Drosophila melanogaster: one gene and its partners. The protein of the gene in region 1 interacts with the protein of each later gene in a pairwise test. Each region holds a gene or a part of one and is shown on either strand. Other genes may lie near its edges.

Region 1 (4,775 bases):
ATCGAGATTCGGATTCAGTTCGGTCAGTCAGCGAACAACTGTGGAACGGTCAAGATGTCCAGCAAAATTCCCTACGTAAAGCACAACAACGGCACCCAAATCCAGTCCATCGGACTGGGCACCTATACGGTAAGATAACGCCGTGAAGATCACGTCTTCGATGGTTATCAGTTGGAAACGGACCATATCTCATTATAAAACGATTCGCACTTTCAGTCGTTGGGAGGCGATTGCGAGCGGGCCACGCTGCATGCGATTGATGTGGGCTACCGGCACATAGACACCGCCTATTTCTACGAGAACGAGAATGAGGTGGGTGCAGCTGTCCAGCGAAAGATTGCCGAGGGCGTTATCAAGCGGGAGGACATCCACATCACCACCAAGGTGAGTTCTGTGATTAGTCAATTATGAAATGCCCAACATCCTGAAATGGAAATCTATACTCCCCAGTTATGGTGCCACTTCCATGAGCCGAAGAGGGTGGAATATGCGTGCCGCAAGACTCTGCAGAACTTTGGTCTGCAGTACGTGGATCTCTACCTGATGCACTGGCCCTACTCCTACGTCTACCGCGGCGACAACGAGATGATGCCCACCGATGCCAAGGGGGAGGTGGAACTCAAGTGAGTTTTTAATTTAGTCAATTACTTTTCTAATGCGGGTGTGCTTCGTTTGTATTTGCTTGACTCTTAATGACCAAATTTGTGCTATTACAGCGATATCGATTACCTAGACACCTGGCGCGAAATGGAGAAGCTCGTGGAACTGGGCCTGACCAAGAGCATCGGCGTATCCAATTTCAACTCGGAACAGTTGACTCGCTTGCTGGCCAACTGCAAGATCAAGCCAATCCACAATCAGGTGCGTCAATTGTGGTTATGCCTTGGGTTTCATATTCCTAATAGACCATTTTCCAGATCGAATGTCATCCCGCGTTGAACCAGAAGAAATTGATTGCTCTGTGCAAGAAGAATGACATTGTAGTGACCGCCTACTGTCCCCTGGGCAGACCCAATCCAGCAGAAAAGACGCCCAACTACATCTATGATGCCAAGGTGCAGGCAATTGGAGACAAGTACAAGAAGTCCACCGCCCAAGTGGTGCTCCGATATCTGGTAGGGATTACGAACTAGGTTTAATGAGAACAAAAACTCTTTATTAACATAATGTTTATCGAAATAGATTGAGATTGGAACCATCCCATTGCCAAAGTCCTCAAATCCCAAGCGCATCGAGGAGAACTTCCAGATCTTCGACTTCCAGCTGGATGCTGAGGATCATGCCATTCTGGATTCCTACAACACCGGAGAACGTCTGATTCCCATGACCCACGCCATCAAAAGCAAGAACTATCCATTTAACATCGAGTTTTGAGCTGGAAAGCAGGAGCAATGTTTGATATTAATTAAAGTGGTTGTTAAATCTGATATTTTGTGTACATATACATATGTTTTTTAAAAATAAACACCAATAATAATTATTTTTGAGATCTTTTTTCATGTTGAAATATTTATGTTTATTTTGGAGATTTTTATATAACAAGCACACTTATTTTTTTTTTTTTACATAATATCGCATTAGTTTTACTTTTAAGCATTTTGATAGTACGTAATTCTTCTATTTTAGTCTTATCACTTGAACTGTTTCTTATTTGCAGTCAAGGGTGTGGCAAATATTTTAAAGGGGCATAAAATATAATAAACATTTGAAGTCATCTATGAAAACAATACGAATTCATTTTGTGATTATATACATATAATCTTAATTAAACAATACCCTTTTTTGGACACCACTGCTGAACATTTAATGATTTGAGAGAGAGCTTTTGCTCGATCATTTAGTTTTTAGTGTGGGCTTGGCATGGAAAATTCCACTTAATCAAAATCATTTGGTCTAGTACAATTTCGCCAACACTTGTCTGAATTCAATTATTCACAACTGCAAGGCAGATTGCAAAAATGAAAAGCTATAAAAGGGAAGAGAATATAAACAAACCCACATGTAATAGGTAAATAAACAAAACTAGCGATAAAGTTAACCGAATCAGCTTTGCGCGCCACTCAACTATCAAGCTATCGATAAGTGTTTTTCAAAAGTGTTCCCACATATTTTTAAATGGGATTTTACACATGATTTGGTTTGGATCATTTATAAAAAATATGTGTTTAATTTATCCTTATTAAAACATTAAAATAATGCATTTAATATATTGGTTAGCACACTTAGAACCTACGCTCCTTGCGTCTCTATAAACTATTTCCAAGTTTCTCTGCCAGCTTGGCCGTGTTTTATCTGCAAATGCAAAAGGTCTTTTGAAGGTTCTATGGGCCCATTCGAAAACCTTATAACAGAGGTGAAGCGAGCAACCCAAGCATTCAGTGTTCAACTTTGTAACCGCGAAGATGACCGGGAAAGTGGAGTACTACTTCAAGCACAACGACGGAACCCATATCCAGGGAATCGGACTGGGCACCTTCGCGGTATGACATTGACTGGTTGATCATAGCATATCCGATACGGATCAGGAATGTCGCCTATCAGTAGCCGGGTTAACGTCATTTGAAGAACCGCTAACGTTATTGATGACTTGTGATTTCAGTCGACGGAAGGCGATTGCGAACGGGCAGTTCTCCACGCGATTGATGTGGGCTACCGGCACATAGACACCGCCTACTTCTACGGAAATGAGGCCGAAGTGGGTGCGGCGGTTCGGAAGAAGATTGCCGAAGGCGTCATCAAGCGGGAGGACATATTCATCACCACCAAGGTCAGTTGGCAAGTTCTTATAGCAGGCATATCATAAACTAATCCTTAAGTGGCCACATATTTCCGCAGCTCTGGTGCAATTTCCATGAACCGGAAAGGGTGGAGTATGCCTGCCGAAAGACCTTGAAGAATATTGGCCTGGATTATGTTGACCTCTATCTGATTCACTGGCCTTTCTCCTATAAATATCGCGGTGATAACGAACTGATTCCCAAAGATGCCAATGGAGAGGTGGAACTTGTGTGAGTAAAATGAATAATATATGAAATATTTCGAATCGATTGGCACTTACAAGTGATTGTGAAATGCGCCTTCTATTATCAGTAATCTTACTATGCCGTTTACTTGCTTCAAACTACAGAGACATTGATTACCTGGACACTTGGGGCGCCATGGAGAAGTTGGTTGACCTGGGCCTGACCAAGAGCATCGGAGTGTCCAATTTCAACGAGGAGCAACTGACGCGCCTGTTGGCCAACTGCAAGATCAAGCCAATCCACAATCAAGTAACTTAGTCACAGGATGTTCCCTCCAGTTTCTCAACTCATATTGTTCTTTCTGCAGATTGAGGTACACCCCGCGTTGGATCAGAAGAAACTGATTGCCCTGTGCAAGAAGAATGGAATCCTGGTGACCGCCTTCAGTCCACTGGGCAGGCACAATGCCGAGTTGAGGACGCCCACCTTTATGTACGATGGCAAGGTTCAGGCCATCGCAGACAAGTACAATAAGTCCATTGCCCAAGTGGTGATCCGATATGTGGTAAGGATTTTCGATTTAGGCCTTATGTTGAACCGGATTTCTCATGATGAATTCTAATTTCAGATTGAGCTGGGAACCATCCCGCTGCCCAAGTCCTCCAATCCCAAGCGCATTGAGGAGAACTTCAATGTCTTCGATTTCAAGCTGGATGCTGAAGATCATGCCATCTTGGACTCGTATCACAATGGAGAACGTGTTGCCCATGCCCGACAAGCCATCAAGAGTAAATACTATCCCTTCAACGTGTATAGTGCTTGTTTTTGATACAACAAATATATTTAAGTTATTATGATTAATAAATAAATAGTAACCCTTGTAAGGGAATGCCCAAAAGCAAGAAGATTTCTAACGTCATTTACAATCGGTAAGTATTTTTCGTAAGTGTTTTGTATATGTCTTTTTTGGCCTTATCATCACAAGTACTTCCCATTGATATTCACATGGATTGGTTAATAAATCAAACAGCGCGGCACTTTTTTGTTCCAGTCATTCAGTTTTTTCTTAGAGAATGTATATATTTCTTAATGCAAAAATTTAAAAACTGATATACTTTTACAACAAAAGTGAAAACTTTTATTTTTGATTGTATTTAAATCGAAGTTGTACCCGTATCATAATGCACAATAGAACAGATAATAGAAAATAGGGTAGCGGATCCATTATGAAAGTCAAGTTCTCGATAAGAAAAATATAAGAAGTCGATTGTTTTACCCAGCTAGCTGTGAAAATAGGAAATAATATGTTTGTATTAAAATCTACCAATGTAAATAACATTAAAAGCTTTTTCTCTGCTGCATTTAAAATAAAATTGAAATGATCAATGTCATGAATAGAAAAATGTTACAGCGAATATTTTAAATTTCAATCTCGCGGTATTTTGTAACGCATTACAGTATATTTGCTGGCTGTAAGAAATATCGATAGAGCGGTTGCCGAACAATATCGATAAGTATTTATTTACTCTTCCAAATATTGTGTGATATTTTTATGTGCGCACATCCATAACAAATATCCTTGCAAATCGCCGGGAACACGACGAATTGCAGGTAAACAAGATGCCAGCAGTACGTGGACATTACAGCAGCGAAGATTACGTGGAGCAGCAACAGCAGGAGGAGTAAGTGCACACAGCGGAAGCAAGTAAATCCGTCCAATTGCCGAAAACCAGAGCGTAGCCAGCCGGAAAAGTAGAGCAGACTCTCCCAGAAATCGATGCCCCACTGCCACACAATGGTCTATATGCGAAT
Region 2 (4,619 bases), 1.2 Mb from region 1:
AGATGAGCGATCACACCCAGAACCATGTGAGCAAATTGATGGCCGATGCTGTGATAGACGTAGAGTCCTCGCCCAATCTCAGGGCAATGAAATCTCCAGGGGGTCGGGAGGAGGGCATTGAGATATTCTACTTCCCGGATGAGCCCAAAGAGAAACGGAAATCCACGTCCGCCAAGCTGCAGACCAAGTCACTGATGGTCGAGAGTCCCTCGGTCATCGGAGACATCCTGGACTTTGAATCGAATGTGATCTTGCAGTCCTACTACCACCAGAGCCAAGTGCAACCGCAGACATCACTGGGCTCCCAGGTGCAGCAGGAGCTGGGTTCCCTGGGCAACGCGTCCCTGGAGGAGCGGGATTTCGACATCATACACGACGAGGAGATTTCACGCATGGACAAGTTCGGTGTCAAGCAAATTTACATCTCCGAGGACCCTTTGCAGATTGTGGACAATCACTTTGAGCTGCCGCATGAGAAAGTGGACCTGCTTAGGCCTCCATCTAATTTCCCAGTGGCCGAGAGCACTTACACCCTTTGCGAGATGACATTCACATGGCACCTTTATGGCGGCCGGGATTTCCCCGATGAACCACTCAAGAAATCCTCTTCGTCGGCAACCAGTGGCTTTGGCATGTCCGATACCTACAAGTATGGCGTGTCTCAAGCTCAAGAGCAGGATAAACAGGACAAAAAGGGTTCCAAGAAGGGTCTGCTCAAACAACCCAAAGGATCGCAGCGCAATCTGGAGGTTCTAGTGGAGATGCAGCTCTCCAAGATTCGATTCTCCTACGAAACCTATCCGTTGACCTCCATGTACTCGTCCCGTCAGGTGCTCCTTGTGTCGGAAATTGAAATAAGAGATAGGTTGCGCTCCTCGGACATTAACAAGTTTCTGTACCATCCGACGGGCAACAATTTATCCCATAAGCCGGACGAGAACATGGTCATAGTGAAGGCTCTGAATGTGCGTCCGAATCCGCAAAAGAGCTCCGCGGAAGAGTGCTCCCTGAGGGTCTCCATTTTGCCCATAAAACTCAACATTGACCAGGATACTCTGCTCTTTCTCGAGGACTTCTTTTCGGGCATGTTCCGAAACTCCGCTAGTGCTGCTGGTGGCACCAAAACGGAGGGCAGCAGTTCGTCGGCCACGGATATGCCGGTGATGTCGGTGAGCAAAATGCCGGAGGAGTTATCCGATAAATTGCCCGATTCGGAAGTTAAGGAGATGGTGGAGAGGAACCTGAATGTGCTGATTGAAGAGAACAGCTTGGATGTGGAGTTGGAGGAGGATCCTGCCACGGCTCCACCTGTGTTCTTCCGCGAGGTGATCTTCAGTCCAGCACTACCCATTTGCTTTGACTATCATGGACGGCGGATTGAACTCTCCCGCGGACCGGTCACCGGCCTAATCATGGGTCTTGCCCAGCTGCAGGGATCCGGAATTAATTTGAGGGAAATTGTGAACCGCAGAGGCATTCTGGGATGGAACAAACTGTGCGAGTTCCTGGCCAAGGAGTGGCTGAAGGACATCAAGCGGAATCAATTGCCCAATATCCTAAGCGGGATTGGACCCACGAATGCGGTGCTGCAGCTTTTCCAGGGTATCTACGATCTTTTCCGGCTGCCCATCGAGCAGTACAACAAGGATGGACGAATTATCAGGGGATTCCAGTTGGGTGCCCAGAGTTTCACCGCTCGCACAGCGCTGGCTGCCTTGGAGATCACCTCCAGGATTATACACCTGCTGCAATTCACGGCGGAGACTACCTTCGATATGCTATCTGCAGGTCCTTCCATGAAGAAGCGGAAGGGCGGCAGGCAGGGCAAACGGAGGCGACAGGGACGACCCAAGGACCTGCGCGAGGGCGTGGCCAACGCCTATACCATAGTGAGAGAGGGCATCAACGAATCGGCCAACACACTCATCGAAGCCGCCATCACGGAGCACGACCAGAAGGGCTACAGCGGAGCGGTGGGCGCGGTGGTACGCCAGATCCCTCAGCTGGTCGTCTGCCCGGCGGTGCTGGCCACCCAGGCCACCACCAACATCCTGGGCGGCGCCAAGAGCTCGCTGATTCCGGAGGCCAAACTGGAGGCGCGCGACAAGTGGAAGCAGGAGATCCACTAGGCAACTGCTTCACAGATCGACTAGGTTAACGGTAGCTATAGTTCACGGGGCTTACAGCATAACGCAATGTTTTCTATTGTTTTACTAATAATAAATAATGTACATAAAAGGAGCACTTGCACGAGACGGCGAGGTGACGAGGGATTTGGGATCCCGAACGGTGATTCCGACATGGGTGTGATTGAACTTATCCTTTTTAGCCATATTACAGTACATGAGAGTTATATTTTTTATTATTTTACCTGAATAAATATATATATATATAAAAGAAAAAGATGACGTATTTCTTCATGGTGCTGCTAAAAGTTTAAGAACGGATACTATTCTAGCAAAATTTAACCGAACTACCAGAATTTATTAAACCCTCAGCTAAAAATGAAGTACAAATAAAAACAACTAGCAGTTTACAAAATGATTTAAAAAGACGTTACTTTTATTTGTATGCTTCTCTGTGAATGGCAAGTTTCTGTAAACAGCTGATTGCTTGCTATTCGGCGCGAATGAATGTTCGTTGGCGCATGGTTTACGTAAAAGCCGCATAAATCGCTGGAAATATTAGTTAAAATTAGGTATCTAAGCTTAAAATTAAACATAAAACCATGTCCAGTGCGCTGACTCGCCTGTTGGAGCGCCTGCCACTGAAAAAACAGACGGCGCAAAGCGGTATTCGTGTTTTTTCCAACCAGGAGCAGCGGCAAGAAATTGAGGATGATGAAGGTAAACAATTAAGTTTCCCTGGCTTACACGTTTTATAATGGATATATCTTCCTGATCGGCCAGAATTCCGAGTGCTCAGCCTGCGGACGGTGAAGCAGCAGATGCAGAAGCGCCAGCAGGTCCGTCGGGATCCCATCACACCGCCGCGCACTGGCCGCATGGCGGTGGATCAGGACTGGACGGCCGTTTGGCCAGGACCACGTTCGTTCCACCCGGCCAGTGTGCCTCTGCCACTGCGGCAGGGATTCACGGAACGCGGAGCAGCAGCTCCGTCGAAGTTCGCCAATGCAGAGCTGATGAAGATACCCAACTTTCTGCACTTGACACCGCCGGCCATCCGTCAGCAATGCGAAGCCATCAAGAAGTTCTGCACGCCATGGCCAAAGGGTCTGGAGACAGAGGCCAAGTGGCAGCGCCACTTCCCCCTGGAGGTCACCACCACAGACTACTGCCAGAGTTTGCCCACGATCAGGAATCCGGAGGCCAGGCGCGTCACCATTACCCTGAAGCTCTCTGACCTGAAGTTCGATGCGCACGCCAGGGATAAGTTCCTGCGCCTGGTGGGCGATCGCTACAACAAGGACACGGACCTCGTTACCTTCGTCACGGATCGCTGTCCGCAGAAGAAGCAGAACTACGACTACGCCCTGTATCTGCTCACCGCTTGCTATCACGAATCCTTTGTCACCGAGCCGTGGGAGGCCACCAAATCGGAGGCCGACATGGAGGTCTATCTGTTCGAGCGTAACCAGTCGAAGGTCTCCGCCGAGGGAATCCTCAACTGGAACGCCAAGAAGGGTGCTCCAAAAGTGGTTCCCAGCAAGTCATTCGCTGAATGCGTGGAGAAACTGATAAACGAAGGCGAAAACGAGTACAACTTGGGCAAATACAAGGAGGAGGTCAAGAAGATGTTGAACATTGCCTAGGAAACTGGATAGTTGAGTGAACCAATAAAGCGAGAAGTTGTTAAAAAATAATCATAACAAGTATTTGAATGTTACAATATTTATCTTGTTAATAATTTTGAATTGAAACTGGGCAACCATGTAATCCCCCTTTACGACGCCCCTCCTTCGTTGTGAATGTCCGAACAGCTGTTTACAATGAAGGCGTGCCCGTGTGAATGGCATTAGAACAGCGCCAAGAACAGAACCAAAAAAACCGAATTTCCGCGGACGTGGAAGCAAACTTTTGTTTTGCTATGCTAATTAGTATTTTAGTAGTTAATAAGTTTATTCAACCCCGTTTGGATGGAGCTTTGAGTAGAATACAGTCGTAGAGAGGTGAGAACAAACTCCTGATAAGAATTCACCTGCTGATGACGTTTCACCTGATTAAAATTATAAAATCCGGAATTATAAACAAAGTTAGTCGCTGAAGTGTTTCTAAGTTATAGTACATTCATTGACATATGTCTGCGATAAGGTAACTATCCAGCGGATGTTCCTTCAGCGCAGTTAAATATCATTTCTATTATCTTAACTTTCGTATTGGTGAAAATGACTCGCCGCTTATCTTGTATTTTTTGTATGTGCGACCCAAAAAGATACATATGTGCTTACGTTTCTGAATTTTTCTACTTTTCTACTATTCTCTTTCACCCACAGACCACGTTGCAGTGCCGCCAGATAAAGAGACAAGCCAGCAAACATCCGCAGCACCTGAGCTAACAAACCAATATCACCATTACCGCGAGATATACTTCACCGACATTAATGGTTGACGTAGAGACCCGTAGAGCGCACACGTAGCCACGGATATCCGGCAAAGATG
Region 3 (4,745 bases), on another chromosome or scaffold:
ACTCTCTTGGAATTTATCTAATCGAGTTGCAGTTCGTTCAGTTCTGACTTACTGCGATTCGCGGCGTTAGTCAATTCCGCGCAGTTTGACGGAAACCACGCTCATTCTCCGGCTGCCTTCCGATTGTATCCGTGAGATTGTTTTTTCCGGTGTAAGTTATCAGCGCACCCATAGGGTCAGCGACGCCCTCACCTGTTTCGCCGATCCAAAATAGCTTATCAGTGCACGTAGAGAAATTTATTGTTTCATGTCCACATTGATCGATGATTTGTAAATTAAAGAAATTCCGAAACTTACTTAGTAGGCTAAGTTACGGTAATCTAAATATGCAGTAATCCCCTCTATGCAGTAGAGGGTATTGTTAAATTTTAAATATCTGAAAACATCAACAACCTTATCAGGTGACGTGTGTTATTTTATCTTTGAATTACTATCGCGTCGTTTGCTATAAGGCAATTTGTTATGACGAAAGCAAGTTCTAGTTGACTTCACTTTACTTTCTACATCGGTTCTATTAAAAATATAATAGGGAATTATTATTATTATTTTAAAATAAATAGTAGCACCTAGTAGCAGTTGTAAGCTAATACGTCATTCTGGGATTTCGGATTTATTTTTAATTAGCATAGGCAATTTTGAAAATGTTTTATTTTATTAAAGATTGAATCCGAATTCGAAATTGTTCTGGATTGATCAAGTTGGCGCTTAACAGCTGGCGATAATGCCAAATGAGATAATGAGATTTGGCCCGAAAATGTCTTATTTTTGTATACTTATGTTACATTTAAGTATTTAAAAATATAAATTAAAACATATATTTTTTTGCCCAGATCGAGATGAGCGAACCCCAAGAAGGCAGAAATCAGTTTGCGCGAAATCTGATAGATGTCATTACCAAAGATGCCCTGCAACAGAGCAAAGACCCCCACATAAATACGGTTTTCTCTCCAGCATCCGTCCAAAGTGCATTGACCTTGGCATTTATGGGGGCTTCCGGATCTACAGCAGAGGAGCTAAGGAATGGGCTTCAGCTAGGACCAGGAGATCGCCATCACATAGCCCTAAACTTCGGAGAGTTCTGGCGCACGAGCTGTAACTACGGCGACAGGGGACCCGTGTTGAAGTCCGTGAACCGATTGTACGTCAACGATTCCTTGGAACTGCTTACCGAGTTCAACGAGATCGCCGTGGACTTCTTCCAGTCGAAGGCCGAGGCGACGAGGTTCGCCGATTCGGAGGGAGCTACGCAGCTGATCAACGACTGGGTGGAACAGGAGACGGAGCATAAGATCACCAACCTGCTTCAATCGGATGCCGTGAACAACGAAACGAGCGCCCTGCTCATCAATGTCTTGTACTTTAAGGGAAAGTGGCAGAAACCATTTATGCCAGAGACCACATCGATTGACCATTTCCACGTGGACCGGGACACTCACGTGCAGGTGAATATGATGTACCAAGAGGACAAGTTCCGGTTCGCAGAACTGCCACAGCTGAAGGCTCGAGCTGTGCAACTGCCCTATGATTACTCAAACATTCACATGCTAATTCTGCTGCCCAACGAAGTAAACGGTCTGCAGGAGTTAGAGCAGCAACTCAACACCGTGGATCTAGCCGATATTGACGCAGCGCTGACCTTGCAGGATGTCGAGATCTTTCTGCCCAGGATGTGCATAGAGTACGACGTGGACCTCAAGCAGGTACTTAATCAGGTAAGATACATTTAACCGATAATAGTGGCTTTGTTTTAATAACAATGTAATATCTGATATTTATTCTCAGCTGGGTATTACGGAAGTCTTCAGCGATAAGGCCAAGCTAGACGGGCTCTTTACCTCGCAAAGTGGCCAAAAAATCTCGGCAGCAAGGCACCGCGGCTACATCGACGTAAATGAGGCAGGATCGGAGGCAGCAGCAGTCAGTTGTAAGTGAAATCAGCTGCTTGCAACTCAAACTTGCTCGTACTAATCTCAACTCTGATTCCCACACTCAGTCATGAAGATAGTACCCATGATGCTCAACATGAACAAGAAGCTCTTCAAGGCGGATCACCCGTTCGTCTTTTACATACGAAACCCGCAGGCCGTCTTCTTCGCCGGCCGATTCTCGAACCCCAAGTCTGGATCTGGATCAGGAGAGGAGGGCTTGTCACGGGAAGGTTTCGATGCCAACATGTACAATGTCTAAGAACAGCAGTGAGACCGAATAGAACTCAGCTATGAAATCCCACTAGACGTCATTGGATTTCAATCCGAGAGAGCTGTGTGCGCAGTTCTCAGTAACGTAATGAAGTATCGCCAGTAGGTACATATATGTCCAGTGCATATATGAGCTCGTCTTGGCACTCGGCGCTCAGTTTACAGAGATACTTATCTCGGGGAAGAGTTCGTTGTAGACGGTCAAATGTATTACTTGTGTAAGTGGCGATCGCTTATAGCCAGTGAATTAAAATACAAAGCAATAAATTACCTATAATAACTTATGATTTAAATTAAATTCATAGAAAATAATAAAACAATATGGTGAAGACGTTTGCTATGGCATTAACTTTTAACTTACAAAGACTATCCGCTTTCGTTGAATTCGATTTGCTTTAGTCTGTAAAAGTAAAAAATATCAAGTTTAATATGCATGAACAGAATTTCCGAACGCTGAAAACGAATTGATAATTAACATCCCCAAACTAGGCATTTTCCTGTGGGTCACTTCAGTGGCATGTCAGACCTCCAAAGAGATCTACCAACTACTTTCCAAGAGCCATACAAACCAGAACCTCGTCGTCTCGCCCGTCTCCATAGAGACCATCCTTAGCATGGTCTTCATGGGCGCAGAAGGCTCGACGGCCAAGGAGCTGCAGAGCGCCTTAGGTTTACCATCGGAGGACAAAGAGGCGGTGGCAGCCAGGTACGGTGCTCTCCTCAACGATCTTCAGGGACAGGAGGAGGGACCCATACTAAAGCTCGCGAATCGCATCTACGTCAACGACCAGTACAGCCTGAATCAGAACTACAACCTCGCTGTGAGGGAACCCTTCAAGTCCGAGGCGGAGTCCATTAGTCTGACCAATGGCCCTGTGGCGGCCGAGAGAATCAACCAGTGGGTGCTGGATCAGACCAGTGGTAAAATCAAGGGCATGATCGATCCCGGCAGCATGACGTCCGACGTGAAGGCCTTGCTGGTGAACGCCATCTACTTTAAGGGCCAGTGGGAGTCGAAGTTTGACCCAGCTAAGACCAGAGCCTCCACCTTCCAAGTAACTGCGAACAAGAGTGTGCCCGTCCAGATGATGGCGCAAATGGGAACATTCAGGGCTAACTACTTCCGCGATCTAGATGCCCAAGTCATCGAGCTGCCGTACCTTAACTCCAACCTGTCCATGACTATCTTTCTGCCCCGAGAAGTGGAGGGCTTGAGCGCCCTGGAAGAGAAGATCGTTGGCTTCGCCAGGCCGCTGGTTGCCAAGGAGGTCTATCTTAAGCTGCCCAAGTTTAAAATCGAATTTCGTGATGAACTCAAAGAGACCTTAGAGAAGGTAAGACTCCGTCAAGAAAAACACGGTTGTGCCACTTTGACGCTCGATTCTATTTAAGCTGGGCATCCGAGAGCTATTCACCGACAAGTCAGACTTAAGCGGCTTGTTCGCCGATAAGTCAGGCGGCAAAGTCAGTCAGGTCTCGCACAAGGCGTTTCTGGAGGTGAACGAGGAGGGAGCGGAGGCCGCAGGTGCCACATGTAAGTACCGATTTGGTTATCAGCGTCGAATGTTGACTCCTATATACTCACTGTTCCCAATGATTCCCAGCTGTGGCCGTCACAAATCGAGCGGGATTTTCTACGTTCCTCATGGCCGATCATCCCTTTGCCTTCGTCATTCGCGATGCGAACACCATATATTTCCAGGGGCGTGTTGTAAGCCCTTGAATAAATAAAAACAATATTTAAATTTTAAATTAAAATTCCAAGCGGAGTGATTACATTTTAAGTTAAGGATCAATGTGGACAGCAGTCCACGTTGTGACGGAAGGGTAACGCAGCGAAGGTAGGTTGTCCAGTAGGTTGGTAATAGGGAGTAGAAGTGGTATTTTGCCAAAAATAAAAAGTGTAATGATTTCTGATTCTTCGTTCGGAAAAGTTTCAAATATGTTAATTTTAACTCATTTAAATACGCCATGTATTTTAAGTGTCCTGGTGAACCGAGCGATTTTATTATTATTATATATTAAAAAAAAACGACTAGTTTAGCGGAGAAAAAACACTAAAAAGTTAAACATCCACCACCAATGAACCTAGAAGCATTCGATAAAAGTCGTTAAAAAGGCAATTTAAAACACTATTCTCGGTTCCTAAACGTATTATGTCTAAATACCACAGATAAAAAACAAGTGAAAAGCCTTTCTCGAGTCCCTCGCGTACCTGCAAATTGGAAGTGGTATGTATGTGATATTCGAGCTACTCGACTACGGCGGTCTCTCCAGTTTTTAATAAACAAAATTGATATTTTTAAGCCGATACTAACGTAAAAAAAAAGTAAAAAGACATTCACATGCTAGCGATGGACTTAAAATCTCTTGGGAAACAGAAATTAATTTCCCCACAGTGTGCCGTTGTAGGGCCAGAAAGAAAATCAGTCTTCAGTTCGAGGCAGAACTTTTAATACGTGGACGGTTTTTGTAGCCATTGAAATCAGCGCTCCACGAACTTAACTACAATCAAATCCTCTACAGATAATTAAGGTAACTGTACAT

The links. The genes of interacting proteins can lie anywhere in the genome.
Region 2: the proteins of CG12766 (region 1) and mRpS35 interact in a two-hybrid assay, tested with the Drosophila melanogaster proteins (one large-scale study listed by BioGRID).
Region 3: the proteins of CG12766 (region 1) and Spn42Dd interact in a two-hybrid assay, tested with the Drosophila melanogaster proteins (one large-scale study listed by BioGRID).

The regions. Positions count from the first base shown.
Region 1 is NT_037436.4:3,937,712-3,942,486, reverse strand, and holds CG12766 (uncharacterized protein), read left to right. Parts: upstream 1-2,361; 5' UTR 2,362-2,402; coding exon 2,403-2,480; intron 2,481-2,599; coding exon 2,600-2,767; intron 2,768-2,835; coding exon 2,836-3,008; intron 3,009-3,127; coding exon 3,128-3,272; intron 3,273-3,330; coding exon 3,331-3,528; intron 3,529-3,591; coding exon 3,592-3,792; 3' UTR 3,793-3,863; downstream 3,864-4,775. Other genes in the region: CG10863 (uncharacterized protein), read left to right, coding at 55-129, 217-384, 451-623, 717-861, 918-1,115, 1,183-1,374; CG10866 (uncharacterized protein), read left to right, coding at 4,741-4,775.
Region 2 is NT_037436.4:2,778,285-2,782,903, forward strand, and holds mRpS35 (mitochondrial ribosomal protein S35), read left to right. Parts: upstream 1-2,614; 5' UTR 2,615-2,728; coding exon 2,729-2,846; intron 2,847-2,909; coding exon 2,910-3,772; 3' UTR 3,773-3,821; downstream 3,822-4,619. Other genes in the region: Atg2 (Autophagy-related 2), read left to right, coding at 1-2,129; Pgant6 (polypeptide N-Acetylgalactosaminyltransferase 6), read left to right, coding at 4,617-4,619.
Region 3 is NT_033778.4:6,880,927-6,885,671, forward strand, and holds Spn42Dd (serpin 42Dd), read left to right. Parts: upstream 1-2,353; 5' UTR 2,354-2,403; coding exon 2,404-2,416; exon of another isoform or gene 2,417-2,481; intron 2,482-2,687; coding exon 2,688-3,532; intron 3,533-3,590; coding exon 3,591-3,732; intron 3,733-3,802; coding exon 3,803-3,921; 3' UTR 3,922-3,947; downstream 3,948-4,745. Other genes in the region: Spn42Dc (serpin 42Dc), read left to right, coding at 837-1,712, 1,783-1,924, 1,994-2,187.